Linked DNA regions of Styela clava. The protein of the gene in region 1 interacts with the protein of each later gene in a biochemical or structural test. Links are inferred from orthologs where the notes say so. Each region holds a gene or a part of one and is shown on either strand. Other genes may lie near its edges. The genes, in order: DDB1- and CUL4-associated factor 1-like and uracil-DNA glycosylase 2-like.

Region 1 (16,327 bases):
AACTTGCAGCCTTACCGATCACCTGACCATGCTCATTTAGTTTGGCTCGAGCAAGTCTTCTTGAAAGACTTGTGTGAATGGAAACTACCTATATGTTTTGCATTCCTCCGATTTTAGAAGACAAATTTATTCTGAGGGATTTCGCATATAATTCTCATTGGTCGTTGGCTGTTTATATTTCCTATTAATTGTGGATTCTGATTATAACAAAGAGTTAAAAAAAAATGACGTAATTTACTGGCACCTCTTTCTTGTCCATACTCCAAGCTGAGGTAATAAACAAGACAATACATTTATGTCATCTGGAAGCAAAATATGCACACTAATTAATAGTTTGACACATTGAGATAACACATCATCAGAAAATACAAGTTAAAGATATGTATGACCATCACATGGTATTTAAAATTAAAAAATAATTAATAGCGGCTGTGGAGTATGAAAAATTCAAGACAAAGAAAAGAACATAAGTTTATAGCTCATGAACTCTTAATTTTGCCTCCATTGCTTTGTGAAGGCCAATATATTTCGAGTGGCTGAATTAGTTTACCTTTATGATAACAACGATTTTGTATTTAATATAGCAAGATTTTTTTCAATTTGATTGAAGTGATATTATTTCCCAAAGCAATGCTTGGATCGTCTAGAATAGATCAGTGGTGTCAAACTCATGGGTTTTCGAGAGCCGCATTGCATTTTGGAAATTGTAAAAAGGGCCGCAAACAGTTTTTGATAATGTATACTTGAAAGATATTTTTAAGATAGTTTTAGTTTGTGACATATGTTGTGATGCAACTAAACAGTTGGATTAAGTTTCATTATTTTCTTTAATTTCAAATGCAATTACATATTAATATTTGCATTCCACTATTATTGCAAGTTACTGTATTTATTACAAAAAATCATAAACTTCTATGTACATCCATCAAAATCCTTTTTGAACAAACTTTGGATAAGGAAAGAATAATACATACACTAAAAATGACCTATTTTAAATATATGGACCTAAAATTAACAAAAATACTACAGTATGAACTCAATGTTTTTTTAATTACATTTGTCCTGACGTTTGGTATCTTTTTTGTGTCACCAGCATACTAAGGCCAGGCTGAAATGATTTTGTAGTACCAACTCTAACTAACGAGGTCACATGATCATGGGCTAATCTGGATCTTTGCGAAAATTAATTCCAGTAATGCAAAAAAGTGATTTTTATAATTTCATGTATAGATACAAAAAAAACACATGACAGATTTTTTCGAAAAGACATTTCGCACCACATTGCGTGGCATAGGATTGCTTGAATTATTATTGATATTGATTTTTAGTAACGAAGTCGTTGTATAATTTTATTTTAATATACAAACACATGAAAATTTTCTGTTCAAAGTTGCCCTTCGAATTTGTGATATTGAGTGCTGACCTTTATGTGTTTTTTCATTGTATTGATGGAAATATGACAAATTAAACAATGTGCTTCAGAATTTTGTGAAATGCAGAAATATTGCAACTCTCATTTTCTTTGAAAATGCCACCTTCTTCATGTACTTTGCGTTTAATTTAATCACTCAAGTGTTTTATTCAAGTATTCTTTTGCTAGCTTGATGTGTATTCTTAATTGGGTCAGAATGTGAACAAAAACAAATTAATTTTCCAAAACTACAGTAAATTGTTTTCTGTGTGAATAATCAATTTTGAAAAATCTATTACATTTAGATAGAAAAAAACTTCCAAAATATTATTACAATTATTGCTAAGCGTTCGAGGGCCGCACTGGAAGTTCTCTGGGGCCGCGAGTTTGACATCCCTGGTCTAGATTGAAGTTGTCCAAAATGTAACAGATTTTATCATGAATCATGATTATACCCTTTCCTGAATTTCTTCTATAGTACTACCAAAAGTTGATGAACCAAATATAACACAGGTGTAGTGAGTTAGCCGTAATCCTCATTTTCCAACGCTGTTTTAAGTATGTCTGGCATGTTTTGTGCCTTTTTACAAATAGGACCGCTTATGCAATCTCACGCTTTAGAATTTTTTGATATTTTCCTTGAGCCCTGCAGGATGTGGGTGCCATACACAACTCTACCGGAGGGTCAAATGTCTTTGCATGCCTCCCATAGGTTGTTCTTCTATTGCAAACATTTATGGAGTACTCTAATTATATTTCTTGGAATCACACGGTCACTGATATGTCGCCAGACTTCTGATATCTCCCCTTCTGCTGTAGTTGTCCTGTGAATAAGTAATAGGAAATTGAGATTAGACGATTAGTTGAAACTTTTGCTTTATGTCGGCTTAATTTCTTGATTGATATACATACTATTTTTGCTATTGCCTCTTGTGCTGCAGGAGTCTCACAATGCTTAGACAGGTTTGTCCACATTCACATCTGAAGAAGGAGAGGAGATTTATTAATTTTCGTCAAGAATAAATGAAGCAGTCTATATGATTTAGAATGGAAAAGCTAATAAATCCAATATCTCATGTTTAATGTAAAAATGTTTTACTGAATTTGGTATATAAACCAACTAATGAAGGAATTTAGTCAGAAAATTACAAGCATTCGTGACTCCATATACTTGAGAGATCAGACTATACAATATAGACCGGTATGAATGAAATGTTAGGTGAACTTGTTAACCCTTTGATTCAATCCTCACTGATTAAAAAAAATCTAAATGGAGGTGCATGAACTATTTGAAACCATAAGGGGTAAGTAAATATGCAATTTCGGCAAATGGGCAACTACGTACCGTACTGAATTAATAACTTCGTAGTATTTGACAAAAGCTGGCTTTCCCACATGTACTGAACAGTGCGATGCCCGGGTGTGATATACAACAATAGTATTTACCTTACCTTTTTCCGATTTCTTTTTACCTCAACTTTCCAAAATATCATTAAAATCGACAACAACTGTCAAAGCCGGCACGAACACCATTCGTGCTATGCTTGAAAGCAGCACACATCCGCTCGTTTTCGTCTCGTCAAGTATGTGCATTGGAGCGTGCTATCGGATACGATCTTCGGCCAAAAATGCCGTAGTTGCGCATCATGTTGTTTAATGTCATTGGTAGAATTAATGGATAAAAAATACGTCAAATTAGAGCAAAATGGACGTTTGACCTTTGACCCCAAACATTCTTTTCATACTTTGTCACTAATTTTGGGAGTGTTTGAGCAACTTTAGATACCGGTACTGTTCAGTACATTCGTGTAAAATTATTGTATGAAAAATACGCTGAATCAGAGCCGTACTTGGCCATTGGTGCGGAGGCGATCTTTTCGTCCATAACTATTCTCACGGGATTTTTATTTCCTATCATTCAACACGATATGGACCTTTCCCCGAGCATCGACTTCCTTGTTTACTTCGTGACATTGGCCAATCAGCAAGATGCAAAAAAGGACGTAACAATGAGAGGAATTTTTCCCGGGTCAAAGGTTGGGGAAAGGTCCATGGTCTTTTTGCTTCGCAATATTTCGATCAGACCAAATCTTGCAAGCTGGTATTTGTCGACAATTGTGGAGTTATAATATTTTGGCATCTTTATATTACTGGATTATTGATTTTAAAACCATTCAAACCGATTTACATTGGTGAGCAATTGCAAATTTTCGGCGTGCAAAATTGATTTCGCTCGCGTGCATTTTTGCGGAGCGCTAGCGCCCTCGGGCGTGCACCTGCCATGGAATCCAGTCTGGCCAGTTACAAGTTACAGTATCTGTCACTACTGTGGGGGAAAATATCCATTAATAAATATATAAATCCACATGTATTTATGGTACTGGTATGGTGAGATTTTTCATCTCACCTGCCATATCCAATCCTTTTTTACGAGTTGAGACTTTACACACATCACTACATTAACCATTCCCAGACTTCCCTCCACCAAAGGCTATTCCTTCGTCAACGTTTCATCATTAGAATGACTTGAAACCTATGATACGTATCGCCCAAAAAAAAACGGCCACCTCCAAAGCGTATATATAATACGCCACCTCTTCTTTATTTATTTTTTTTTTAATGGGATAATATAATAAAATATAACCAAAAGTATATAACCATTTGAGCAATCATAGGATAAATAATCCAATATTCATTTTTCATATGTCCATTCCATCAGTGTTTAATGACGAGGTGTTGATCGCATCGGCATACAATTCATCAATTTTTAGTATATTGAATTATATTATGTACAATAAAAGTAAAAACTAAATATATTAGACATGTTCATTGTTATACATACTTAATTTATACACACTTGATTTATAGTTCAAATACAATTCCTCAGTATTTCAAATTCTTCACCTCTTCTTTATATTTATTCCATAATACCATTAAATTGCCGACTCGTTTCCTTTTTTCCTCGTATTTATTTTTTATATATTGATATTTGATCTCATTTGTATCCACCTATGATGAACTTATATATAGCACATACACAAGGGTCGGGAGCCTAGATGACTTTAATCGGTCTTGCACACCGACCCGCACAAAGCAATAATCAATTACTGTGGAATATTTTCGTTATTGTATTATGTTTATAATTATTAGTGTTGATTTTGTTTTTGTGGCAATAAATCTCTCTCTCTCTCTCTCTCTCTATACATTAGGCACAGCAGCAGCTCGCAAACTTCTTGTTCGTGCGGCGCCAAATTATCAGCGAAAAAACTTACTACGCACTCACACGAAAATAAAAAGCTGCTTTCAAATAAAACTCAAATTTGGAGTGGGAGTGGTGACTCTTCTACGGCCCATGGGCCGGGGCCACGGTCCATCGAAATGGGCCTCGGCCCATCAGGCTATTGGCCGCGGCCCATCAAGTTGTGTAATGGGATGAAATAATAAAGACTAATAAATATGTAAATCCTACCTAAATCCTACCCACTTCCCGAACTTATAATAGAATTATAATGTGAAAAGTTTGAACAAAATTTTGTCCTAAGTTCCTAACCCTAACCTGGTACACATACTTCAGGTGTATCCTTTTCTGTAGCTTAGTATTTTGCTTTATTTTTGGACACGTAGTGGACATAGCGATCGTTTCAATATTGTGTTGTTGTTGTTCTCATTGTTGTTCTTAGTGTCCTTGTTCTTTGACACGTTTTGAAAAAATCGCTTTTCTCTTCGAATACTGGACCAATTGCTTTGAAATTTTTAGTGGTTGAAGATAAAATTTTTCTCCAGAAGGCCGACTTCTTTTTTTTTCGTTATGACCTCATCAAAATTATTCCCACTGGGTGGCGCTATGTGTCCATATAGAGCATAGCTCTCTTGTTATGTAAAGGCTTATCGTAAGAAAAAGGTTTGGTGGCATCCCGCGATTTTTTTTTTGGTTCGAATATTGACAATTTTGTAAGAATTGAAAATTTTGGTAAGACAATTGAATTTTTTCTGATGAGCCGCGGCCCATAGCTTGATGGGCCACGGCCCATGTGGCCCAATTAGATAGGCCGTGGCCCCGGCCCATGGACCTCAGAGGAGTCACCACCCCTGTAGCAAATTTGTGATCGTCAATGTGTAAAGTACTTTTGTGTAAAGTTTGTAAATATGTGGGCCTAACAAAGAATAAGGGCAAAAGGTCAACTCTCTTTCTCATGTCTGCCCGATTTTCATTTGAAATACTAAAAATATCACTCATGTCAAAAAAAATTCGAATACAAAATATAAAATATCTATAATAAATACAATATGTAATATCGTCAGTCCTATATTGTTTTTTCTTCAGGTGAAATTTGCAAATCGGCGCCCACTGAAGTTCAGTATCAAAAACACTCTATTGCAGTTTTAAGTAGAATAATCACCACTAAAATAATTTTAGAACAAAAAAAAAACCTCAGTTTTAACCCTTAACCCAGCGGTTTTCAAAGAGTGCGCCGCGACGATTTGCTAAGTGCGCCCGAAAATTAACAAAATTGTGTTAAACCGTAAATATAAACCGTAAATATATAAACCGGTTGAAGCGTAAATTAATACTACTACGGTTAAACATACCAAAGCAATTTTTATTTCTGTTACATTTTTTTCTTATTGATGACTGTTCGTATTTTGGTTGACAAAATAATGAATATCTCTCTCTCTCTTCTATACGGAATCAGGTTCTGTGGATTTGACCCCCGAAAAGTGATTTCGGGGCTATTTCAAGAGTGCTTTTGCGAGTTGGCGCCTGCAAAATGGGGTATGTGTTTCAAACCATCATTATGATTCATCGCATACAACAATCTGTTTTTTAAAAGTAGCGATTAAGAATTTTAACCTAGTTTATCACAGCTATTTATACACTAATTTTTTATTACTGCAATTAATTTAAAACTTCTAGGAAGATAGGGTAATCATTGAATTATCTGATTTATATTTTAAGTTTTCGAAACACACTGAAAACTAATGAATAGCGTTCAAAAACGCGAAAACGAGGTAATGTTTACGACCACGCTTGAAAATCTGTCTGAGTGAGAAAAGTGTCTGAGCGGATGCGAAAAGGGAGAATTGTTACGTCACTTTTTGCATCTTGCTGATTTGCCAATGTCACGAAGTAAACAAGGAGGTCGATGCTCGGGGAAAGATATAAAGTGCACATTAACGATCACAACTATTAGTTTTATTTAAACGCAGCAATTTTTTTTCATGTACCGTGTTTCCCCAAAAATAAGACTAGGTCTTTTTCAACTTTCTTCCAAAAATAACACTCAGGCTTATTTTCGAGGAGTGTCTTTTATTTTCATTTATCAAAAACAAAATTACAAAATAAAGAATTACGAGATTTTCAAATATACATAATATGGAAACCGATATCCATTCACTTATAAATAAAAATCAAAATAATAATCAAAAAATTATTTAAAAATATTAATTCGCGTTATTGACTTTCCAGGGTAGGTAAGACTTTCTTATTTTCAGGGTAGGTCTTATTTTCGGAGAAACACGGTAGGTGCGCCGAGAATTTTTTTCTGATAATTTGGCGCCGCACGAACAAAAAGTTTGCGAACCGCTGCTTTAGTCCTTTCGCCGCCATTGCATGGCGAATTAGCCCACTTAGGATAGGATTTACATATTTATCCCGGGGGAGAGGAAAGCCGATAAGACGGCTTATCCATATGGCGAACCACGGCCTCTCGTCCGGTTACCATTCCAAGTCGGGTATGGGATTAGTTTTACTGTATTGTTTGTTTTCGGAAGCATGGACTTGGTGGTGGAGGAAGCCGTAACCGACCAGCGGTTACGTGAACCACCCAACGACGGCGAGGAGTCCAGCAATCCTCTCGCACATAACCATCCCTGCATGGGATTCGAACCTGCGAACCCACGCAGAGTAATTAGAGGTGCGGTGGCGAGCGTATTCCTAACGCTTAGCCCGTTGAGCCACACCGCCGCGCCACCGCCGGCGCACTTCAACCACCTCATCTTGCGTCAAAAGAAATTTCATCCACTTTTACTTTTTAGTGACTTCAATCGGTCGGAAGAAATTTCACTTCTTTCTTTTAGGCCACAGTCTTTTGGGGACCTAGTCTTAAACCACTCCATCTTTGTCGGGAGAAATGTTATCAACTTCTTCAGTCCTTCAGTGTTTTGTAACTTTTCATCTTTGGGAACACTCTTTCCTCAGACCTTTTAGGTACAGTACAGTAATGGCGCACCAATCGCGGATGTCGAACACCAGAACAATCAACGATGAGGATAAGATTTACATATTTATCTCGGGACAGAGGAAAGCCGATTTGACGGCTCAACCATATGGCGATCCACGTCCTCTCGTCCGGTTACCATTCCATGTCAGGTATGGGACAAGTCAGGTATTTGTTTTTCCGAAGCATGGACTCGATGGTGGAGAAAGCCGTACCGGTAACCGACCGACGCTTAGCACGACAAGTGCAGTTTCAAGTATTTTGTGGCGTCTACAGCTGCCGCAAAACCATGGCGGGATTTCCAAACCACGGCCACTAAGACCAAACCCACGGCGACTGACTTTTTAGCTGCCACAAACCAATAGCGAGCTGCCGTGGTTACGGCAGCAAATCGAATACCACCAATTTTACTGCCGTAACCACGGCAGGTCGGCTGTAATAGCAGGGCTGCCCCTAATCTGCTGATGGAGATAAATATTTAGTGAGTTGGAATGTTTTTCTTATGGATACAGTTTGGATGGATTTGGGGTTAGGGTTAGGGTTTAAGTAGATATAATTTCGCATGATAAACTTAAATATGGTACATGAATTTGTAAATGTACCGGTAATAGCGCCATAAAACCATGGCAGGAGACGGCGTGGTACGTTCGTGGCAGGAGCTGCCATGAAGTGGTAAGAACTGCGCCTCTAGCACGATGAGCCACACATCGCTCACATCTCACTGTATCGCACCTGATCGCGTAAGCTGAGTTTTGAGTACTGTATTCGTGCCGTATGTATACTAGTAAGTAGTATGCCGGTATGCGTACAATTTTCGAATGTAAATTGATAGGAATCCTATATTTTTTTAAATCAAGGCAAGGAAATGAATTATTGTTATATGAGCACATGGCTGATCTGATACACGGTTAATCATAATGTAATTTCGCATGCAACGACAAAATAACAGGTATGATTAATATACTGCAATACTGTGACAGTGTGAGGGCTTTTGAAAATTATGAAAAAAAAAGTGTCAAGTAGGCTATTCTGAAAAGATCTTCATTGAATAAATTCACAGGATACGGTATATTGGCAAAAAACTTGGCGTTTTACTGTAAAAACAGGCAATTTTGCTTAAAATCATTCATAGTCTAGTAGTCTATGTATTTCTGTATTTGAAAAAAAATGATTTGGATATGATACCGGTATAATTTTAACATTGTTGTATAGCAGGGGTGAGCAAAGTTTTTTGCCCTGGGTAATAAAATCTGCACCTAGCTGCCTAGACCGGCAGCCATGTCTGCATGTACTGATGTAAGTGTGACGTACCGGTAAAAGTTACATTTTATGAACAATATTTACAGTGTTACAAAAGCGAAAGTGGAAAACAATAAGCCTCGTGTCATACTAAATTCAATTGCAATTTCAACAAATTCTTTGAGCTGACACATGAAAATTTGGTTTTAGTTTGGCTGTGGCAGCACCAGGCGGGCAAGATTGAGTTATCCAACATGCCAGATTTGGCCTGCTGGCCGTAGTTAGCCTATGTCAGTTGTATAGCCTGCTTATATTTATAAATTACATCTGGCCAATCTGTCAGTCAATCACTTCTACCTTTTTGTGGTATTCCTGTTACATCCTGCCTTTTCTTATTAAGTAGCAATACTTATACTGCAGGAAAAGAGCGTAAATGACCAATGCAACTGTATGAACTTAGAATCAGTATTATCATTGAATATTATGTGACCATAACTCATTTATAAATACATACATGCAGTCACATATATTTGATTTTCAGCATTATACTGATTATAAGTAATGGAAAATACTACTACTAGTGCTAGAGATGCTGAAAAGCAGTTTTCTGAATTAGTTGAAGCATGGAAGTCAAATCACGAATCAAGCGATTATGATCCAGTGCCATTTTTGACTGACTGCGCAAAACTTTTCGAAGAAGAGACAATAGAATTTCATAAGGGTGATCCTGACCCTTTTGATGAGCGTCATCCTGAATATGCACAACCTGGATGTGTTTTTGGAAAGTTACTTGTTTCTCTCTCAAAGTCGCATGATTTCATGGATAAACTTACATCATCTTACTTTCGTGTGACAACAAATCCAAAGAATCCATCTCAAATTACGTTAGCCTCTGCACGATTTCTCTTAGCCGCTTTACCTGGATTAGAGCCTCATACGTTATTCAAAGAAAAAGAATGGTTAATCAAACTCCTTTCTGAATGGGTAACAGACGCTGATGAGCCACTAAGGACATATGCAACAGGTTTGCTTGTTGGTGCCATAGAACCCCAGAAAACTTCTAATGATGAATATATAAGAATGATATCAATTTTGCTCAAAAGATTATGGAACCATGTTAGACCTGGTAAATTTCCAGAGTCAGAATGTGATGGATCTACTTTTAAAGTTGATTCTTCTATCGGAGTTAAGACTTCTTCACAATCTCGCTCACAAAAACGCAAGTTATCAAACAGCTCAGATGCCCCAAAACTAAAAAGAATATTCAGTGAAAAACCGCATACGAGCACACATTCCCCAGCACCGAATGGCGAAATGCATTTTACGAGCGATTACTACGACAATGACCTGAGTAACAGTAGCTGGTCTGAGCAAATGCCTGCGATGATAGGATGCAGTTACAGCCTTGAACCTCCTCTACATTCAGAAGTCTGCCAAAGATTTATTCTTGATTTTCTAAAATGTTTGGGAGAGTATCAGGATTTGTTATCAATTTTCCTTGAACTCAAAGCACTAGAATTAATTAATATTTACATAAAAGAAAAGAAATTTGATGGACTACTAATATTCAAAGCATTAGAGTTTTTGGCATCTCTTCTGTGTCACAATAAAGTAGCCACGGAATTCATTGAATTAAATGGAATACAGAATCTTTTATCCGTTCAAAGACCATCAATGGGTTCAACAGGTGTTTCCCTATGTATTTATTACTTAGCATACAAAAAAGATGCAATGGAAAGAGCTTGTCAGCTGCCTGCTCGTATTTTGAGTGATTTAGTGAAATATGCTCTTTGGTTGCTGGAATGCTCTCACGAAACTGGTCGATCTCATGCGGCATTGTTCTTCTCATTTTCTTTCTCATTCCGAGTGATTTTACAGCTTTTTGATAAGATGAGTGGATTACGTTGCCTTATGAATATGATAAGTATGTCAAAAATTATTATTAATGTACTAGATGATAACTATGATCCTGATGAAGACGCCAATAGACTTTTCATGCGCCAAACAACAAGAACAGTTTGTGCAGCACTTAAAAAATACTTTGAAGCTCATTTGCAGATTAAAGTTTGCTCGGCTCAAAAATCGATTCCAAAATCCAAAGAAAGACACACCATTGTGGAATCTGTATCAAAATATAAACCAATGGTTTCCAGTCGCGAACAATTCTTTGAAAATCTTGAAGTTCTCGGTGAAATCTCAGTTACTGATGCCAGCTTTCGATCTATGAGTAACTGGCTACCTGTTCTCAATTTTTATCGATTAGATGGAATTGCATTGATGGTGAAAGTGATTGATATTGCATGTGATTGGGTGACTTACACAGGCCAAATAGAAGTTATACGTTCAGCTTTGGATGTACTTGCCGTGGTAACTCTCTTGCCATCACCGCAATTGACTTTGTGTAAACATCACACTCTCAATAAAAAATTTACCGGTATTAGTATAATGTTGGATATAGCAAAAGGGGGAACTCTGTTCGCAGTTGAAGGTGAAACACAAAAGTCAGCTCTTGCTGTAATTGTGAATTGTGTGAGGGATTATGCAACTGATCATCGTAAATCAACACCTGGGCCACAAGATACACCACGTTCCAAATCTTCACAATCTAAAACAGAAAAGAGGGAAATGGTGTGGAAATATGTTCAATATAATAATGGTATTTCTGTTCTTCTCTCATTACTAGTCATAAATCAACCTGCTTTGCATGCAGATGAAGTGAGATATTTTGCATGCAAAGCGCTATTGGGATTATCAAATTATAAACCAATTGCTCAAATTATGTCAAAATTGCCATTTTTTATTGGTGGACAAGTACAATCTGTTGCTAGAGAACCAGTTCTTCACTACAAAAAACGATTGCATACAAAATTTTGCAAATGTATGGGAGCCCTTTTAGAAAAAGTTTCTGGTAGGCCAATGAATTTGGAGTTGGATTTAGATGCAATTCGTATATCACACATTGTTTCTGAAACGCACATGCAATATGAAAATAAAGAAGTTCTTCAAATGATTCATAATCATCTAGTTTGGTCAAAGCTGCATAATGCAGCAGAAATTCTTGCTAGAGATGCTTGTTTATTCGCAGACAATCAAAAAAGCATCCTTTCGACGCCAAAATCCAGACCAAGAGCAGCTTCCTCAGGAATATCTGAGCACCGAAATAATGGCAGTGGTGATGCCAGTTCTAGTGTGAACAGGCGAATTAGTTTCACAAGAGGTTCTCATGCATTAGGAGACACACCAACTTCATCTCATATTATCAACATTCCAAACCAAAGCACCAGTAGGAGACATTTGAAAGGTAAAAGTGATCCTTTGTCTGCTTACAATGGCTCTAATGGCCAACAAAGGTTTAAGTTATCACAGAATGGGATTGTTTCGGTAAAGCCAAAGCCTTTGATCTGCCGAAGTAAGGAACCACCAAGTCCACCAACGTTGAATTCCATTATTGAAGAAAATTTTAAACATCAACATGCTCAATGTCGAAATCCTGTTGCCACAGTTCCAGAATTTTCACTGTTCAGTCAACATCGTTGTCCAGATCCACGTTATAGGGTCGAAGCATCAACAAACGTCATGAAAAGATTGGTTTCTCGTGAGGGAATTTGCCCTCGCTGGGGAGGAATTGGGGGTGAAGTGTGTGACAGACAACTTGTTTACAGTCGCTATAAACCGGGATATGTTTTTAAAGGATCAGAAGACAGAAAAGTACCATTTTGTAGCGTTGCTTTCATGCCAGGTGATGAACAAATAGTTCTTGGGGATTATCAAGGAGATGTTGTTATTCATAATCTTTATTCAGCTGAAGATCAAGTAATACAAGGTGTTGCAGGAATGCCAATTTCAGCTCTGCAGCCCTCTCGTAACGGAGATTCAATACTAGTTACTGCAGAATCAATTTGGGCCAATAACTGTAGTCTTCATTCATTAGGCACACAACTTGAGCATAAGTTTACATTTGAAGACATAGACCATGCTGAATTTTCAAAACTTCACCAAGATAAGATCATTGGGACAAAAGAACACAAGGCCACTGTTTATGACGTAAATACTGGAAGTGCTTTAGACACTTTTGAGCGAGAAGATATGTGTTGTTATTACAAGGAAAATCGTGCGACTTTTTCTCCAGATGATAAACTTATTCTTTCAGATGGACTTTTATGGGATGTTCGTAAACCTCACACGTTGCCAATTCACAAATTCGATCAATTTAATACAACAATTAGTGGCGTATTCCATCCAAATGGTCTACAAGTTGTTATTAATAGCGAAGTCTGGGACTTGAGAAACTATCATCTTCTTCATACAATACCTGCCCTTGATCAATGTAACCTTACATTTAACAGCGGAGGAACCATAATTTACGCAGTCAGAACCAAAGACACTTATACCAGTGAAGAACAGAATATAAATAAGTCATTGATGTCAGCTTTTCGTACTTTCGATGCACTCGAATACAAGCAACTGGCATTCAATGCTGTTAGACATCAGATCTATGATCTTGCCGTCGATAGCAAGGATTGCAGTGTTGCTATCGTGGAAACGTTAGCTCAAGATGAGGAATGGCGTGAACCGGCCATGAGCGTGTGTCGATTCTATGAAGTTGGTATGACAAGAGGAGATGAGGATGATGAAGACGTTGAGAGTCATTTTGACGATGAGGACAATGAGAGTGACGGAGATGGCAGCAGCATTTCTGGTAGTTCTAATGGTGACGATGGGTCCTCGCAAGGTGAGGATCATGATCTAGACCGGCTTAGCGATATGCTTCGTGATGACAATGATAATTCTAGTGGAGATGACATCAGTTTCGATATCATTGATTCATCAAGTGATTGGCAAACAACAGATGATGAAGAATGGGCTGCTTGAAACCAGAGCTGGTTTTAAATCACAATCAGTGTATTCCAACTTTGCTTCATCTTTCCTCACGAGGGCTCCTTGAAGTTTCATGGTATGGCCAGTGATATGGAACATCAGCCCAAATGCATTTTTGCAAAATCGTGACTCGAAGCTATGATATGGGAGTTTCAAATTATATTGTAAACTTTTGATCATACATATTCAACTTGAAACTTCTTGAAAGTTAGATTTTGAAAATATGTATACACTTGAAGGGGTTGATTGCAGTGTTAAAAAATTATAAGTGTGAGAAAATAAATGGTTAGGAGCTGAAGACACTTAGAGTATGTTGTAGCTTTCCCATCCCTGCTTGAAACAATGCATTAAATACTGAGTGCGACAATGTTGGTTCCCCTTTATTAATTATCCCTGTTGTCAGTCTTGAGTCACACATTCCTGCAATCACTGTATTTCTTATGCCAATTATCAAGAAGTTCCAAATTTTTAAGTCTGACTCAGTAGTGGGCCTGATTCTTTTCTTTGTCAGTATAATTTTAATGAATGGTGAAGGGTTTTTGAATTTAATTTCTTTCTATGTATTTGTCACTGCTGTTTTACCATCTGAATATAAAGTGCTTTATGATCAATCATGAATAGTGTGTCTGCTAAAATTCCTCTAAACTGAAATTAAATCTTCTTGTTTTTTTCTTTCTTTTCAATGTAGATTATCATAGTTCCTTCCTCTGATACATGCAAATGCCAAATTTGAGTCAATATTAAATTTCTTTGGGAAAAATGTGTTGCTTTATCAAACTTGGTTACAGGTTTTGAGGTGGTGTCACAAACTTGTAAATATTAGTGTTGTAATTCATCCGTCTTCGAAGTTATTTAAAATAAAGTATGGCAAGTCATCACACCATTATTGACTGACAATTTTCAAATATTGTTTCAGGAGCAATAATATTTAATTTATGTTTAATACGGTTCTTACGACTAGCAGAGAATCTTTCGTTAACTGGTTGACATGACCCAGAAAAAGGCCATCTGGTGGCAAGTTTTAGTTAAGATTCCCTTTGAAACAAATTTTGCCCTGATCTGTCATAGTGCGTCAGCCAACGCTTTGCTGTAGATTCGTACATCTTAGCCAGAGTCATATCGTGGCGAGCACCAAATTCTCTAATTACAAAGCTGCTGTACAACTGAACACTTCTAAATAAGCCCCATAAAATATAAATCGTTAATCGTGGCGAGCATCCAATTACAAAACTGCTGTACAACCGAACACTTCTAAATAAGCCCCATAAAATATAAATCGTTACACATCTATCAGACCCCCACAACAGAGATGCGACCTATTTCTTAAAGGGGCAGCTGAGCTTTTAAAACGGTAGGTGCTGCTAATGCAATGACAACCATAAACCCGATGGTAAGCTTCCGCTAACTGATCTAAAGTACACCAACAAAAGATCAAAACGAATACTTTATTCATTAAAAAACTGTACTATCGAGAATACCATCTCGTTGCCATAGGTGCTTTTGATTGGAGAACTGTTGAATTCACGGCCACCAGAAGTCATGCTATCCATCGAACAGTGCTGACCTCCCAAGAGCCATCATTTCGTTCCCTCTGCAGACCTCTTCTCTTTTAAAGTTGCAACAAAATCTTTCACAGTTTGGGTTTTAAAATAACCTGAAAAAATATTTCATTTTTTTATTAGTTTGAATGCCAAAATCATTAACACAACAAACGCCACATATCAAACTAGATAATTCACCTTCCGTACTGTCAAAAAATTCTTGAAGCCAACCAGGCCTTTCAGAGTCATTTTCATATTCATAAGCCTGTAAAATCATATCCAACCTATCAAGATCTTTTACGAATATTGATTCAGGTGTCTTCTGCTCTTCAAATTCCTGTTTATATCAAAACACAAATGAAGTTAGTTAGTAAGTAGAACATATTATATCATCAAGTGCGCTGATACCTGAACAATATTAATTTTAGTATTATTAAGAGTATTGTCTAAACTTGAAATATCATGTGCAAGCCTCACTTGAAATAAACTTTGAATCTCTTCGGCATTATGTTGAGGCAACAAATCTCCAAGTTGTTTCATTGCATTCTGAATAAATATAGTTACCGTTTATGAGGCCAAAAAATGACAATGTGGAATCCCTAAGATAGAAGGGGCCCAACTAATATATTGTGTTGTCAATATAGTAATACAGCAGACCATAGGTGCTTGGAGAGTTGGCACTAGCACAGTAGAATTGAAATCTGGAGTTTGCAGAAGTAGAAATTTCAAAATTTTAGACCTCTCATGAAAACTAGGGATTTTAAAATCACAACGGACTCATGCCAAAGTAAAATTTGGTCCTCTCAGAGTTGAGGGCTGGGGTCAAAAGTTCCTTTTTCTGGAGTCAGGAGCCTGAAACAAAAGGTTTCTCGGTCACGAGTTTTGTTTATTAAATGGCTCAAGAGTTGGGAGCTGAAGTGGGCAATGCCATATTGATGCAGGATTGCTGGCAAAAACCAATAGGATGTTTCACACATGCTGGTATATTTGAATTATTACTCGACATACCGTTTCTTCCGTATATTTTTGTTCTTTCGAAA
Region 2 (15,758 bases), on another chromosome or scaffold:
TATAAGGTCGTAAACATCGGGAGCTGCAAGCCATGGACCGAACGAAATACAAACATCACAACTACAGAAAAAAAATTCAGATATTAGGTTATTATTCAGTAAGGAGAGTTACCAAGAAGTATGAGCAATCATGATATAAAAATTTCGACTGCCATTCATTTTTTATTCATTTGTCTTCTACCTGCCAATACTTGACAGAATATAGCAGATCATCAGACATCCTCATTATTAAAATTAAAGGGGGTAGGACATAAAGGAGTTGCTAACTAAACCAAAAACACAAATGGGTACTCCTGAAGTATGCGCACCAAGATGTCGCATAACCTGAACTCTCACCTGGTACACAACCTGAGTTCAGGTTGTGCGCCATCTTGGTGCGCATACTTCAGGAGGTCTGAAATTTGATATAGTAACCTTTATCAAGAGGATGAATAATATAGCAGTTGTTTTTTATCAATTTTATCGCATTTAGAGCAGCTGTAAACAATAGCCACATGCCAAGCTTAGATGTCTGTATGAAACCACAATGCCATGTAGATACTTGATGACGCGTTGAGTCATGCACTTTTCAATGTACAGAAAAACTTCCTCATTGTACGTTAGGTTGAACAAGAGACACTTTCGCTCATCAAACGAGGAAGTGGTTTTTATCGTGAGTGATGATTTCCTGACATATGTAAATCATTATTTCGGACCAGACTAAGTCAAAATCTAGGTATCTAATGTAACCTGCTAATCTGGTTGTGACAAACCCACAGTAAAACTGATACTACTGTTGGATGATTTTTTAGTATTTCCTCAATAATGACCGGTACATTATAAGGAAAATTAAAAATGGCTTTTTTACACTAATCCATAATTTTTTCTAAAAAATCTTAGTGTGAGAAGTTTGGTCAGGATAATGCCTATTGTCAGAGATATCAACTATAAAAATATTTGGATTTAACTATTGCATATTACCGGAATATTGTTTCTGCTGATATTATTTTTGGGAATTTTACCCACCGTAGCTGGAATCTAGAATGTCCAAAAAATGTCCGAAAGCAAGATTTTCAATCGTAACTGAAAAAATCACGCAAACGTCAAAGTCTTCATATTTGAAATTTATTGAATGGCTTTTTTCAAATATATCTGAACAATAATAATTCACTAAAAATGATGTAGATGCAGTTCTGCGAATGAACTTGTATTGCATAGAACAGCAACCTTCTAAAAGCAATATAAGTACATTTTGGGTTTCCCACTTCTGCTCTGCACAAGGCCCTATACAAGCAGTCTCAACTGGAACTTGGATGAAATAAACAATTCTAAAAAATTCCAATTATAAGATCTTAAATCTTCTTACCTATGATTCATTTGAGATCCATTTGGATTTCTTTCACCAGGCACAGGAGGAAGTAATGAATTTTCATATGCAGTTATTGGTGAATCTTCTTTGTAGACACAAACAAGAAGTTTTGATACTCTATCTGGATGAATGGTTGCAACTTGCTGAGCTTTTTCAATTAATGCATTGATCTTTATATCATAACTTGGCACCTGAAAATAAAAGTGTAATATTTTAATATTTATAGCATATATCGCTCTTCAACTGCAGTTATTATGGTCTAGCAAAGGGTGTTTCAAACTGGGATCCAGTCACTCTGAGATTGCCAAAGAGTAGTTTCCCTGGGAGCCTTGAGATAACGTCTGCACCATTATCATTCATGGTCCCTACATTACTTTAGAGAAAATTGACAATGATTTGTTTAATTATTTGAATGCAATGCATTTATTCTTTTACCTTCGTTTGTTGATCTTTTAAAATGAAACATGACACATAAAATAACTGATGTGAACTCGACTAACGGAAATATTGATACTTTAATGAAAAGCAGGGGCCACAAGTCTCTGGAAGGGGATCATGAAACATGGAAGAACCACTGGTCTAGCAACTAATGAGCAATAGGTTACATGCACATAAATATTTCTGTCAATGCACAGACTACTAGATGAGTTATATAACCACCTATATTCTTATCATCCCATATAGGCAACAATTCAAATCGATTGAAAATTTTTGTAATGTTTCAGAACAGATAGAATAGATATTCCATATTAAAGGATTTTCATCAAGTATTTTAACATCTATTCTTTCTCTGTGATGCAATGGCTTGCATTTACGGTAATTCTTCCCTGTTGTTAAGATATCAGTTGGAATAGCCTCACCCAAAGAGGTGTTATTGAAAAGGTTATAGCAATAATACTTAGAATAAATACATTAGATAAGGCAGGAAAATTTAGTACGAAAATCAATATGTATTGGTAAACCATAATAATCATATTGCATTCTTCACAGCAGGAATAAAATCAATAAATTTTGCTCAAAGGAGGTTCATTATTTGTATACAAATCATTTTCAAATAAACAATATTGCGAAGACTCGAAATTAATTTTAGCTAAATGAAGGAGTAATAGATCCCAGAAGCAAAACAATGCTTAAATAATCACGATTTGTATTAGAAAACCAAGCAATTTTTTTGCCAGCACGGACTTGGTTAGCAATAAAATTTTGACCGAAGATGACAAATGTTTTCAAAGTGCAGTGCCATTCAGCAATTCGAAACCTAACTTTATATAACAGATGGGCCAATATTTTCTTAGTTCTGACTAATTATTGTCAAAATGATTGTTATAGTGTAGCATGAATCACCCTAAGGCCTAAGGGCTATGATAACTGTAAAAAAATTCTATGAAGTCCAATGCCTGAAGCACTCACATAATACTGTATCGTAAACAAACAATTACACAAATCTTCAAATGAATAAACATGGTGCTGCTAACAAGAGCTAATTATAGCGCTTTGTAGAACTCATAAAGAATTATAAAAAAATGATTCTAGAAACTTTGTCCATCTTAGTATTGAAAATTTGAAATAGATTGTTCTATTAGATATGAAGAAAGTGATTTTTCTACAACAACAATTTTGCAAAACGATAAATATGTACACTCAATGTCCAATAAGTTTCATCACATATTCACTAACTCTAACGGTTTACAGAAACATAAAATATATGTAAATTGGGAATAGAATGAACTCAACATAACAGCTTCTCCACTGTTCATAGTTGATTTAATTTCAAAATGATACACCATAATATAAAGAAATAAAACAGACAAATTCATCTTAAAACTAACCTCATCAAGAAATAATCTCCTTATTTTATCACTTGCAACAGGACAAGTTGAATTCAATGCAGAAATGAGGGGAGTAATATTATAATATTGCGCTTCTTCATAAACATCCATCACAAGTGACAGTGGTGGCATTTTATTTTCACGAAGATAATTCAGAATATGGATGAACAATTTTCCATCTCGGTCAATGAAATATCTAAAAAGTGTGTGCAGAATATAAACAATATAGACCTAAGGTTTACACCTTGATGCACTTTAAGAATATGGGCCAAAATTAGAAAAAAGAAGTCTAAACCAATAAGAGATAGTTTAATATTTTTGATGCGTAATATCTTTGCTCCAAACAAGACACTACACATTCCCCAACTTGTGAGTTCGTAAAGGCCATAATCATCTGGTGTAAAAAGATAGCCTCATCAATATATATAATTTGTTGGTCAAGTGGTTAGATTCAGAGTTATATATTTACACACAACATACCGATATATAAAATTGATCAGGTATATGATATACATTGCTATATATTACACTGTTTATGCATTGTTTAGTCCAGCGCTGCAATCTAGTGCAATACTATCGCCCGTTATTAAAAGGTCTGCAACATGATTGATTAGATGTCTGATTTATAAGGTAACAATTTGCATGTTCATTAATCATTCATAATATAACATGCCATGCTGGCAGGAAAAAGAATTGAAAGTTTGCAAGATATTTTGTAGAAAAGAAATAGAAATTGATTTATTATACATTTATACTCAAGCGTACTAATTAAAATGTCATACTGTCAGTTGTCACGTTCATTTGGTTTTGAAGAATTGAAAATAATCAATTTCACAGTAATGTTAATGAAAATACAGGATTATTCTGCATTGCTTATATTATGTGAATGCAGATTACAGATGGAGTTCGCATGGGTTCAACACATAAGCTTTAAACAAAGTACAGGGTATGTGGATAAATACATACCAAATTGAATGGTGATTATTAATGATGAATGAAAGAATTTTAAAGGTATATACTTCACCTAAACCATTGCAAAATACTTGGATTCTTATTTGTCAAGGCATTCTATTGAAATTTTCAGCATAAAACTATTTTGAACTCAATTCAGAACACTCATTTTATTATTAAATATAGATTGTTTTTTCATTCACAATGGAATGCATATATTCAAAAATTCATAATACCATTACTCACAGGATATTAATATTTTTTTTTAATTTCTCGGACATCATCAGATGGAAAATATTAATAATTTATTTCATTTCCTACAATATATTCTATTTCCGATGAAGATAAGAGATAAGAAAAGTCATATTATTTATCCCAAAATATTACAGTTATTGTTTTATTTGCTAAAAATACTGTACTGAAAGATTACCGTACATTCTGTTGAAAATAGGTTGATTAAACATGGACCTTGCTTCAATTGTCTACTTTGGCATTAAAAATACTTACCGGTAGTCGGTAGATCAATATTGGAAATATTTTGAACAATTTTAATATTGAATAAACTAGAAAAACTCAAAGGGAACCACATTATTCAATAAAAAAATCCCAATTCTCTGATTGAATCAACTAATTTGAATTTGCCCACTCCATCTTTTTACTCAGAAAGTGATTGAATGGCTTAATTGAATCTCAAAAACCTCGACTGCATTTGATAATTGCACGTATATTTTTTATGAATTATATACTAACCTTCCTTGATCATCCATTGCTAAATGATGCCGACCACTAAACATAACTGCGAGCATTGAATCTGGATATTTCAGAAGAGTTGATAAACTAGTTGTATGTATTGTTCCTCCAATGTTAAGTGTGATTACATTTTGAAACTAAATTAAAAAAAAATCATGAAAATGGATATTAGGAGCAATGAGCCAAAGGCATAATTACAAATTAGAAACATTCAAGAATACATAATCTAACTGAGATTATTTAGAATGTCAACGTAAACTATTTACTTGAAATATATGGTTATATTGGTCCAATTGGGCACTTAGTTTGTATCAGAGCTAAGTTGTCTGAGAAAACTTACATCAGACTCTCATTCAAGCTCCCCGAAACACTGTTGAGAAAAATTTGAAATGCATCCCGACTATGAGAAAACCAAATTTTGAGCATAAAACTTGGCATGTGTAAGCCTTCTTAAAGTTTTAATTGAGAACGCTAAAGTCAGTTTTTTTGTTTTTAACTTTAAAAATCTGAAATTCCTCCAAAATTCCATGGATCCATTTCAACTCTGCCCTGTCTACAACTATGAGGTATTGGAAAATACAACAAGGCTCGGACTTCAAAGCCCTGGTTCGTATTAGCCAATACCCCATCATTTGTAAACAGTGTGATCCACTCAATATCACAGCACACCAAAACAACATGCATACCTGAATACACTCGTTTTTTTCATAAATGCCATTTCCATTTAGTTCCCTTGAAGATGAAAAGGAAGGGTTAGGAACATCAACAATTTTCAACACATTCATTGACGACGGCTTTACGCCAGCCATGACTGACAGAGGGTCATGACTTTGCATAGCTTTATCTAATACAAATATTTAACTAATCTGTCCAAAATCAATGTGAATATTAGTATAAGCCTTTTTCTTTTACAGACTATATATAGACTCTCAGGATTAGAACCTTTTTTTTCTCGATTGGAAGCATCATATAAAAGCATATTTTTATTCAAATGGGTTGGTGTATAGAGCTTTGTTTTGCAAAATTTTTGTTTTTCGTTCAGTGGTTTTTCAAACATCAATTTTAACAATACCTAGTTTTGTTTTTAACACCACTTTTAATAACAGAAAAGTCAACGAACGTAAGCAAAAGAATAAATTCAATACGGTCAGAGAATTAAACAAATCACATTCAGTTCACTTTAAATTATTTGTAGTCATGACAAATGGTACCTAGCAAAGGTCTTTGCTCGTGGTCCCGAAGCACCATCCCTTGGCCCTCCTAGTTAAAATATTCCGATCTAGATGAATAAGTTTTTAACAAAATCATATCAAAGACCCCAATCAGGGATATAATCCAAACACGGTATGTCAAATTTCACTGAAAATAATAATAATAATAGTAATAATACTTGGAATCATAAATTCCTGCCAGTCAGGACTTGAAATATATCAAATAATATGACAACCAATTTTTGCTGGTATCTGTTAATTTAAAACACCTCGTTCGAAAAATTAAGATTGTATGCTCAAATATGACTGTATCATAATAAAGTTTATCAATGTATCCCATGCTTCACAATTGGAAAAGCACTTTAGAAACAGCAACTTTTAAAGTGTTATCAGGTCACTAAACTATCCAAACAACTACATGTTGCAAACTATTTACGTTTGAACTGAGGAAATGCAAACATGCATCATTGCATGCAAACAAAAAACGCTGTGAATCATTTCACTTGCTATATAATGTCCAGGAAATAGAACTGATGACTAGTAGAAAGCAGATGTTTTCAATAACATACATAAGTAAAGTTAGAAAAGATGAATCAAATACAAACAACCTATGATACGTCAGTGTCACATAGACCATGATCTTGGCAGTCAGTTCATAAGAGTAAGATCACATACATTTTCCAATTAACCGCACTGAAAAGAATTTGTATAACAAACAATTTTAAAATATTAATAAAAATGACTACGGTAGGTTTCACTCATGTTTATATGTTTCCACAGATGATAAACGAATCCAAAATTCTCATAGGAATAAAATATCAGTTGTAATAAATTCTCTTTAATCTCGAATCACATGGGAATCGATGACATTTATAAACAAGTTATGGATGATGAGTAATGCATAATCACGTGGATTTAAGATATTAGTTTCATAAATCAGTAATTTGCAACGTTTTGTATAGATCACTATAAAATTCGAGGAAATCTATCACACTATATGAAGTAAAATATTTTCACTACTCAAAATTATTTTGAGTTAGACAATATGACAAAGATAAAACTACCCCTTAATTCCTAAACTCAAAGTTACAATAAAGCCAGATCGAATTCTAACTTGATGAAACATTTTGTGAACGACAAATATTGATAAAATAATATTTGTATTTTGACAAAGTAATGGTACTAATTTATATTGAAATTGGCCAATCCGTTCTGTTAAATGACAAGCGACCCCACCCCATACATAAAACACATACACACCCTGTTTTCATAGTTTTGAAAAGATATTCATTCTATCGGTATGTTTGATGTAAATATTTTAGATCAGTCAAAACAAATCAAAGGCAACATTTGTAGTAAGTATTATTCCCATGTACATAGAAAATTTTCATTCAACATGTTTTAAAAACACTAGAAGCTCTCAATTTCTTTGAATTTAGTTTGTCATTTCAATACTTTGAGTATATGCCAAAAAACTGAACTATCACTCTGATTCGAGGTCCCAATATAATTCAATAAAATGAATCGGCAGTACTTCAACGGTATCTGATGAGGTGTAGAAATCAGGAAATTCACATAAATTTTAAAAATTATCATTATGAGCAAGGGAAGGTCATAGTAAATTCCTAAAAAATTATTCAACTTCTGAAAAATGTAGCAAAATAACATACAGACATTGCAATCAAAAAGTCTTAACTTTTCTGTGTTATTGTAATTCATCACCATGAATGTAGAATGATATCTACATGTTCTGTGTTGTTCAGGTCAAAATCAGAACCTATTTCTTACACTATTCAACTAAATCGTTCATGACTGTATTCCTAAAAGATTGCTTGGGTAGATGTCTTTTGAACAAAGTGATTACTCAGCTTTGTATCAATTTTGCACAGACATTGAAAATCTTATACTTTCATTTATTCCTATGTTTTTTTTTATATTGCTATCTTAAAAGTTCAGCTTGAACTCTAACATGGTACAGGAATGTTGCCAAAATTTCAAATGCTAAAATGAAGTTTCAACTTGAGACACAAAAGTATTGTAGTCTATGATTAATCTCACATTGCACTTCATTGAGGATCTATTTGCCCTCCATTATTATTATTACTCACTAATTTTCCCATCTGCAATTTTTGACTCTGTTTACATTAGGTGAGGACAAGTAAAGTTAGATCATTGTCCCACCTTCAAACTTATCCTATCATAACCCAATATAGGCTATATCTGTATATAGAATCATAACTGCATACTGGCATAAGGAAGGACCAAATCAGAAAATGAGTGGTGGGACAATACCACAGTAACAGGATAGTAGTACCAATTGAAGAGCTGATCAATTCTGCAATTTCAATCAATCATTTATTTCGGTTCTCTGACATCTAGACATGAACAACACAAAAAGTGAACATACAAAAACAAAATGCAGGGTGTGCATATGGTACCGTACCGGTACCTACCTGGGAGGCGAGCATAACTTAAAATAAGGTTAAAAAGCGTACAAGTACCGTACCGTACGTCCGCATATTTGCCCACACAATTTGAAGCAGATCTTTCTCCTTATTGTGCATACATGATGATCTTACTTTCCCTCATCCAGACATATCTGCACCGCCTGCAATGTCGCTCCGCCGGTGCTCGTCCATTAACGTTTCTGCAGCAGCACATTTACTTCAGGAATTGGAGGATTTTTCATTGAATAAGTATATCAAAAACAGCTCTATTCCGCCATATCGCGGGAAATCACATGCCGACAACCAATGAACATAGAGCTCCTTGCAAAATGCAGAGAGTGGGAAGCAGGAGTATAAGGGGTGTGTCTGTAAAGTAAACAAACACAAATACACGTGATTCGACCGCAACGACGCGTGTCTTTATGGATATGACGTCATAGTTAATAATCAACTTTTAGACATCGTGTTTTTTTTTGGCGGCAATCGTTCCCGCCGTTACTGCTTTATCCAACCGCAATTTTCAGCGGTTTTTATTCGCTCTTGTGGCAGAGTGGTGTGTGGAGCGGTGCTGAGTGAATTTCATTGTTCCAAATAAGACGCCTGGCTGGCACATAAAAGCCAGCTAAGGCGTCTTTTCCATTTCCAAAGACGCCGGAACCCAACCTTGTCCACAAACAAAAATGTCATCACAAAGAAAAATTTCGTCTTTCTTCAACGTGGCTCAGAAGAAGACAGGCAACTTGAAACGACCATTGAAAGAGAAGGTATCTTATTTACTTTTTTCAAATGTTGTTTCGATAATTAACCGAACATACGGTACAGGTACGGTACAAAGATAAAATGTATTTGAAATTGTCAGATCCGGCAGATTCAGAGATATTGATATTTCATGTCATGCTGTCATGCGCATATCTCCATACAGCTGTAGAATTTAAGTTAATTAATTAAAACATTACTGTTTTTTGTGTGAGAGTAGTCCAGTCCACAGCAGTGTGAAATCTGCAGGGATCACTATATTATAAATAGTAAAGTAAAGTAACAATAAAATTTGAATGCAGCAAACAATAGCAGAATAAGACAATGGTTTTTGTTACAGTAGGCTAGCATGTTGTTCAATCTCTTTCCAATATTGTCGCCTATCAAAAGCACCAACTCAAACATTTTCCTCCCTTTCTTCATCCCAGGATACCGGTACCAGGGTACTGGGATACCATAATATTGTTTTAATTCACTTTGATAAATCTATGACATGGTAAAAATGCTTCTTTTTGTAATTTATTATTTCTCTATCGGACTATCACACTGTAATTTTATACCTTTCTAATCTTCTGGCTAAAATGCAATCACTGAATCATAAGTTTTGTGGAAATGCTTTTTACTAATTTTTTTTTTGAATCATTGCTTCTGGTTGTATTTACAATTAGAAAATACCTTGAAAGAGGAGTAAATTGATAGAATTTGATACATAACATTCGTGTGTTTTAGGTCAGTATGGTCTTGTGCATACATCCCGTCTTCAGTATTTAGAGAGTATCAACTCTTTTATTTTGCTTTTACGAGACGAATAAACATACATGCTCTACATATCATTTCGTCATTTTTGAAAAATTCATGAACTAAACACTTTCAGACATTATGTTTTAGCCTCATGTTACACCATGATGCCACAATCAGCTATCTGACTATTAAAGCTATTAACTAAAAGAATCCTAATAACTAGCACTAACTCACGAAATCACTGCATCGAGGCTATTTGTTCTGTTGTTTGATCATAGCAGGTGGATATGTACCTAATGAGTGCAGGAGTGTCTTCATTCCTACATTCAGACATTTGCAGATTTGGCTATGGTTATAAAAAATATAACATAGCCAAAATCTATCTTCACTATATCTCATGTCTCTGTAAAATATAATAAATATGATCAGCGCATGTTCTGATGTTACACCATATGTTTGTCAGGAAATCTGTTCATCAGCAAAGAGACCGTTGACTGAGTCACCTAATAACAAACCAGTACAGACACATATTTCATTGAAGAAACAAACGTATATGGATTCTTTAGGTCTTGAAACAATTGGAGAGTCTTGGAAAAAAGCTTTAGAGCCTGAATTTCATAAGGACTATTTTGTTAAGGTTAGTCTTCAATTTATTTGTATTTTATTATGTTGTTTTTACAGTAATATTCGTATTCTGATATTTGTCGTCTAGTATCAAGATAGATCAGTGGTGGGCACGGTTTTTGGACCAGGGGCCAAAAATTCTGCCCCCTCAGACTGACTGGCCATGTAAGTGTATTGTAAAAAGTTAAATTTTATGAACAATATATACAGTGTTACAAAAGCAAAAGTGGAAAACAATGATCCTTGTGCCAAAACTAATTCAATCCAATCTCAACTAATTCCTTAAGCTATTTTTTTAGCTAAAACATCAAAATTTGGTTTTAATTTGGTTGTGGCAGCATCAGGAGGACCAGATTGAATTACACAACGGGCCGTAGTTTGTCTGAGACAGATAATTCGCAAAAACATAAAATTAATTTTTTGTACTGTTGTACCTCATTGATATTTTCATTTATTACTTTAGTTAGGCAAATTTGTGACATCAGAAAGATCTTCACATACAGTGTTCCCTCCAGTGGAAGATGTTTTCTCTTGGACACAGCATTGCAAGTTGAAAGATATTAAAGTTGTTATACTCGGCCAGGATCCTTACCATGGTGAGGGACAGGCACATGGATTATGCTTCAGTGTCAAAGTAAGTTAATGTAGAAAAGAGCAATGTCATGAAGGTCTAACGACTAATGCAATGTTAGTAAAATTTCAGCCAAATGTAACAAAATACACCAAATGTCATATAAAGGTGTGTACCAAGGTTCGCCTATGAATTGAGAAAAATGGCAAATTTTGGGGCAATATATTGGACCCTGTTGTAAAATTATAAAATAAGAGCAATTGCTTTCATTAGCGAATTCTTACGACTTTAAGTACTTTAAAATTTAAAATCGATTGGCCTATATCGCAAGAATAAGTGGTTTTCACCAACAATAACTACCCCAGCCAGAACAATCAAAACATCTAGCAAAACGATCCAGACATGCATAGATTACAGAGTGTCCACTGTTTACAAATATGCTTGTATTCTAGAATATGTCTCGGCTATGCATTTTGTGTTATATTTCTTCAGTTAAATGATGTTATTAATCAAATTCAACGTTTCATGGTATCAATGTCTTATTGGTATTTGTTTTCTTTTAGAAACCTGTGAAACCCCCTCCTTCATTGGAAAATATGTTTAAAGAATTGAAATCTGATATTGGAGGTTTCAAACACCCTGGTCATGGAGATTTAACTAGATGGGCAAAACAAGGTATCGTACTCAAATAAGAAAGGAAGACCAATAAAAAATTGAATTCATCGTTATTTAGAGTCGTGCAGTTGAATTTAATTTCAGACAGTTTATAAAATGATAAAATTTAAATATGAATTCCCATTGGATTCTGTGTCCTGTGCGGAATCGCATGTTCAAAATTCCGTCAGGGATACCTATCTTCGAGAGGATTGCTGAACACCTAGTAGTAGTTCACGTTCGGATAACCGCTGTCAGTCACACCTTTTTTCAACGTCAAGTTCATTAATCCTAACCTGATAACTATTTAAGTATTTTCACATTCAACTTGGACTGGTAAACTGCCAAGTGAATATACCCCCTGCCCGTAATTTTCAGTCTCTTTACACAATATGCTCTGTTATTTATTGAATAAGCGAATATGAGATTGAGATTATATTTCCCTGTTTTCATGACCGCCTAATTTGTACAATATTTTTGCGGGCTCACTAGACAGGATAAAAAAAACGAAAAGTACTACATATCAGCATGCAATCTCTCCAATGTGATGTGTGCTTATGTGGGATTTTAACATGCTTTTTTATTTTATCCTTATACTACTGTTCTTAAATATAAGAGCACAGATGATTTTATCAAACTTTCCTTACTAGGTGTCTTGCTTTTGAATGCTGTCCTGACGGTCCGTGCTCATTCTGCTAATTCTCACAAAGACAAAGGATGGGAAAAGTTCACAGATGCTGTTATAAAATATGTCAATTCCAATTGTACTGGAGTTGTATTTATGTTGTGGGGATCTTACGCCCAAAAGAAAGGTGCAGTAATAGATAAGGTAGGAATTTTTTTTATTTATGAAGCTTACGTTTTGCAAGTGCCTCAAGGGAAGATTGGTTGAATGCCTTGGACATGAAGGCTTAGTGATTGTGATTGAAGCGTTAGACATAACCATACATCAGTATCGCAGGTTATAATCTCTGGTTCAAATCTCGTCACATATCCCAGGGTGAAATAAATTAGGTAGGCAATGCTCAACGGGAATGCTATTGTACAGGCCTTGTTCAGAGGAAAATACTTGAATAAGCATTGTATAATATAAATACAAATAGCCATAGTACAAATATTTGAAATATTCATTTGAGGTGATGCGAGACGTAATGATTGTCGAAGTTGAAAATCATTTTTAAACTCGGATTAATCCATATATGTATTCAGAAACGACATCACGTATTATGTTCTGTCCATCCTTCACCATTGTCAGCATACAGAGGATTCCTCGGTTGCAAACATTTTTCTGAAGCAAACAAACTTTTAAAAGATCAAGGAGATAAAGAAATTGATTGGTGTGCTTTATAAATATTGCTGCTTTTTATGTTCTTTGTACGATTTCATTCATATTTGTAACTTCTTTATTATCGGCTTGCTGCTCGACTCACTGCCATGTTCATGTAGCTTTGTAAATAGTTTGTTTTGTATGAATCGTAGTGTGCATTGTAATAAACTGCTTCATAGTCTCTTATATATAAAAATTCAAGACCTTGATCAATACCCACTAATTTCTCACCAGGGTTGTCAAATTTGGTAGTTTAAGATTCATATGTTCTTTCGAACTCCTGAGAGACCATTTTTCTGATGTAGGCCCTCAAGGATTAGTAAAAATGAAGGATCTCATAATTTCTGTGAAAATAAAATTGGAATTGTTCATCAATACGCTATATGGCTCGAAATTCATTGGCGAGTTAATTCTAAACTAAACTTCCAGTATTCTTTTGACTTTGATTTGAATTAGAACCAGAAACTTTTACAAACCCGAACTTTATCACCCTTTTTTGGAAAAAATTTAACTCGTATTTAAATTTGCGTTTGTAATTTTGTAATGGTCTAAAATTTCAGTTGAGAACATGCTTACACAAATTTTCATCATTCAATGAACACTTTTTTAATATCATTTTGTAAATAACACATGTTTTGTCTTCTGTTGAGAGTGGAGGTATGCTCATAATCTTATATTTTAAATAGTTTTGGTTAGTTCTTTTTTGTGTATACTTATGTTGGTTTATCATCTAAACAGAACTTATTATTATGGTTACGATTTGTCATTTTACTCGTCCCTGAATTGAAATATTATAGAATGGGAAAAAATTAGTAAGTTGCAGTTTGTGTCTGAATACTACTACCCTGGAAGTCAATGTTATTTTTACGGTAACTATCTTTTTGTTCGGTTTTTAAACTTCATATTAAGAACAAGAAATCTGAAAATGTTTTAAACATGTTTAATGCCTTTAAGTCAATCATATTGTACTAGTAGTTTCATGTATAACCAGTAGTTGCTTATATGCTTTGTAGTTTAGTAAGTGTATTTGTAAAGTGTTTAATCTAAATTGTTTCTCTTAGCAACTTGTAATCATAAATTCAATTGTCAACCCTTGCCAAATTTGACAAGAAATTTTTTCGAGAGTGAAAAATCATTGAATCATAGTACTGGCAGCCATGCTGTTTCCTCTCTTCAAGTCAGCCCAGTCACTGCCCCAAAAAATTAAATGCTGCCATTGTCAGAATCATTTTAAAATTGACTGTCTAAATTATTCGTGCCATAAGCTGAACAACAACCATATTTTGTATATTATCTTGAGTTTGCTGCTAATCATGTTCCTTAATACTTTTCTTTGTGTTACTTTTTGTTTTTTATTCTCTACACCAAGCGTCACCATTTAAGGTTTCAGATGGATTGAAGGTCTTTTCTGAATCTTTAGATGGTATGACCGGGACGTGGCTTGCGTCACACTGCCTATGTGATAGTTTTACAAAATGTGCTGCTATGTATGACTATTATTAACTGCCCCTAACAAGGCAAGTTTCATTTGTAAATACTTTTTCATTACTCGTTTTTTGATGTTTGTAATAAAATTTGAAAACCTTGATGTCTGAAGTTCATTGGTTGTAACCAGGGGAGCTTACAGCCCTGCGATCTGCATGAACCATTTCTTGGAATGTAGGTGGATACCAACTTCGGTAACAAACTCCATAGCTGACAATTCGTGTTATATTTGGTGTTTTGAAAGTTCTGCGTTAAAATTATATGAAGAGTGTCATGCAGCCCTATTGTGACACTCTTTTTTCCGAGGCGAGGGAACCTCTTGTTTGATACAAAACTACCTGTTCTTAAAATTGTGACTTGCGGAGGTAAGTAATTACCAGGGCTTCTTTTCTTGCCAGAGGTACCAAAACTGAAATTTCCTGGTTTGTGTAGACATTAATTTCCAATCTCCAGGTTGATAATTAATTAGGCACTACGTGTCTGTGACAACAAATCATTTACTGGAAGCTATGTTAGATCTATTCTTCATTAGTCTGAAATTTTGAAAAAAGGAATAGCTAAACCCGGGCTCCAACGCCATCTGACAGTCAACTACAATGTAATTGCTGTTTATTCCCTTTTTTAGGAAATGATGAATTCGCAAAAGTTGAGAATTTAATTAAGCCAATTGTATTTATTATAGGAGTTTTTTGTCCGTAACCATTGTTTTTATGATTGCTACAATTACGAACTGAGGTGACCAATTTTACTAAACATGTCTCTTTCTACTGCAGCCAAACTATTGGTTTGTCATTTGCTGCCTACACATCATTATTAGACATAAGATAATTATCCATAATCTCAAAGTAATCGATGATTTTCCTGGCCATTCTATTTCATATTCGTCATCAGATAACAAAAATCCTTAACATTGACAGACGTTTATTTGTGATAGACCAGAAACCATAAAATACTGTACAAAGAAAATATTAATCACATAAAAAGAAGCAAGACCTACAATTGAAACAGTCAACAAAAACACCACACTGGACAGTGACAATATAATTTTTACTGGTGGATAATCA

What was found.
Region 2: of the proteins of DDB1- and CUL4-associated factor 1-like (region 1) and uracil-DNA glycosylase 2-like, one has a biochemical effect on the other in vitro, tested with the Homo sapiens proteins (2 studies listed by BioGRID, with this or other methods). The link is inferred for Styela clava from reciprocal best matches to the Homo sapiens genes DCAF1 and UNG.

What each region holds. Positions count from the first base shown.
Region 1 is NC_135250.1:9,076,263-9,092,589, forward strand, and holds DDB1- and CUL4-associated factor 1-like, read left to right. Parts: upstream 1-8,555; 5' UTR 8,556-8,578; intron 8,579-9,409; 5' UTR 9,410-9,429; coding exon 9,430-13,740; 3' UTR 13,741-14,629; downstream 14,630-16,327. Other genes in the region: 5'-deoxynucleotidase HDDC2-like, read right to left, coding at 15,324-15,400, 15,486-15,624, 15,765-15,833, 16,296-16,327. UniProt on the Homo sapiens protein: Acts both as a substrate recognition component of E3 ubiquitin-protein ligase complexes and as an atypical serine/threonine-protein kinase, playing key roles in various processes such as cell cycle, telomerase regulation and histone modification.
Region 2 is NC_135252.1:16,926,854-16,942,611, forward strand, and holds uracil-DNA glycosylase 2-like, read left to right. Parts: upstream 1-9,068; 5' UTR 9,069-9,216; coding exon 9,217-9,300; intron 9,301-10,496; coding exon 10,497-10,670; intron 10,671-11,120; coding exon 11,121-11,291; intron 11,292-11,791; coding exon 11,792-11,903; intron 11,904-12,532; coding exon 12,533-12,711; intron 12,712-13,091; coding exon 13,092-13,232; 3' UTR 13,233-14,797; downstream 14,798-15,758. Other genes in the region: BTB/POZ domain-containing protein KCTD7-like, read right to left, coding at 1-61, 1,346-1,539, 3,178-3,373, 4,879-5,015, 5,565-5,714. UniProt on the Homo sapiens protein: Uracil-DNA glycosylase that hydrolyzes the N-glycosidic bond between uracil and deoxyribose in single- and double-stranded DNA (ssDNA and dsDNA) to release a free uracil residue and form an abasic (apurinic/apyrimidinic; AP) site.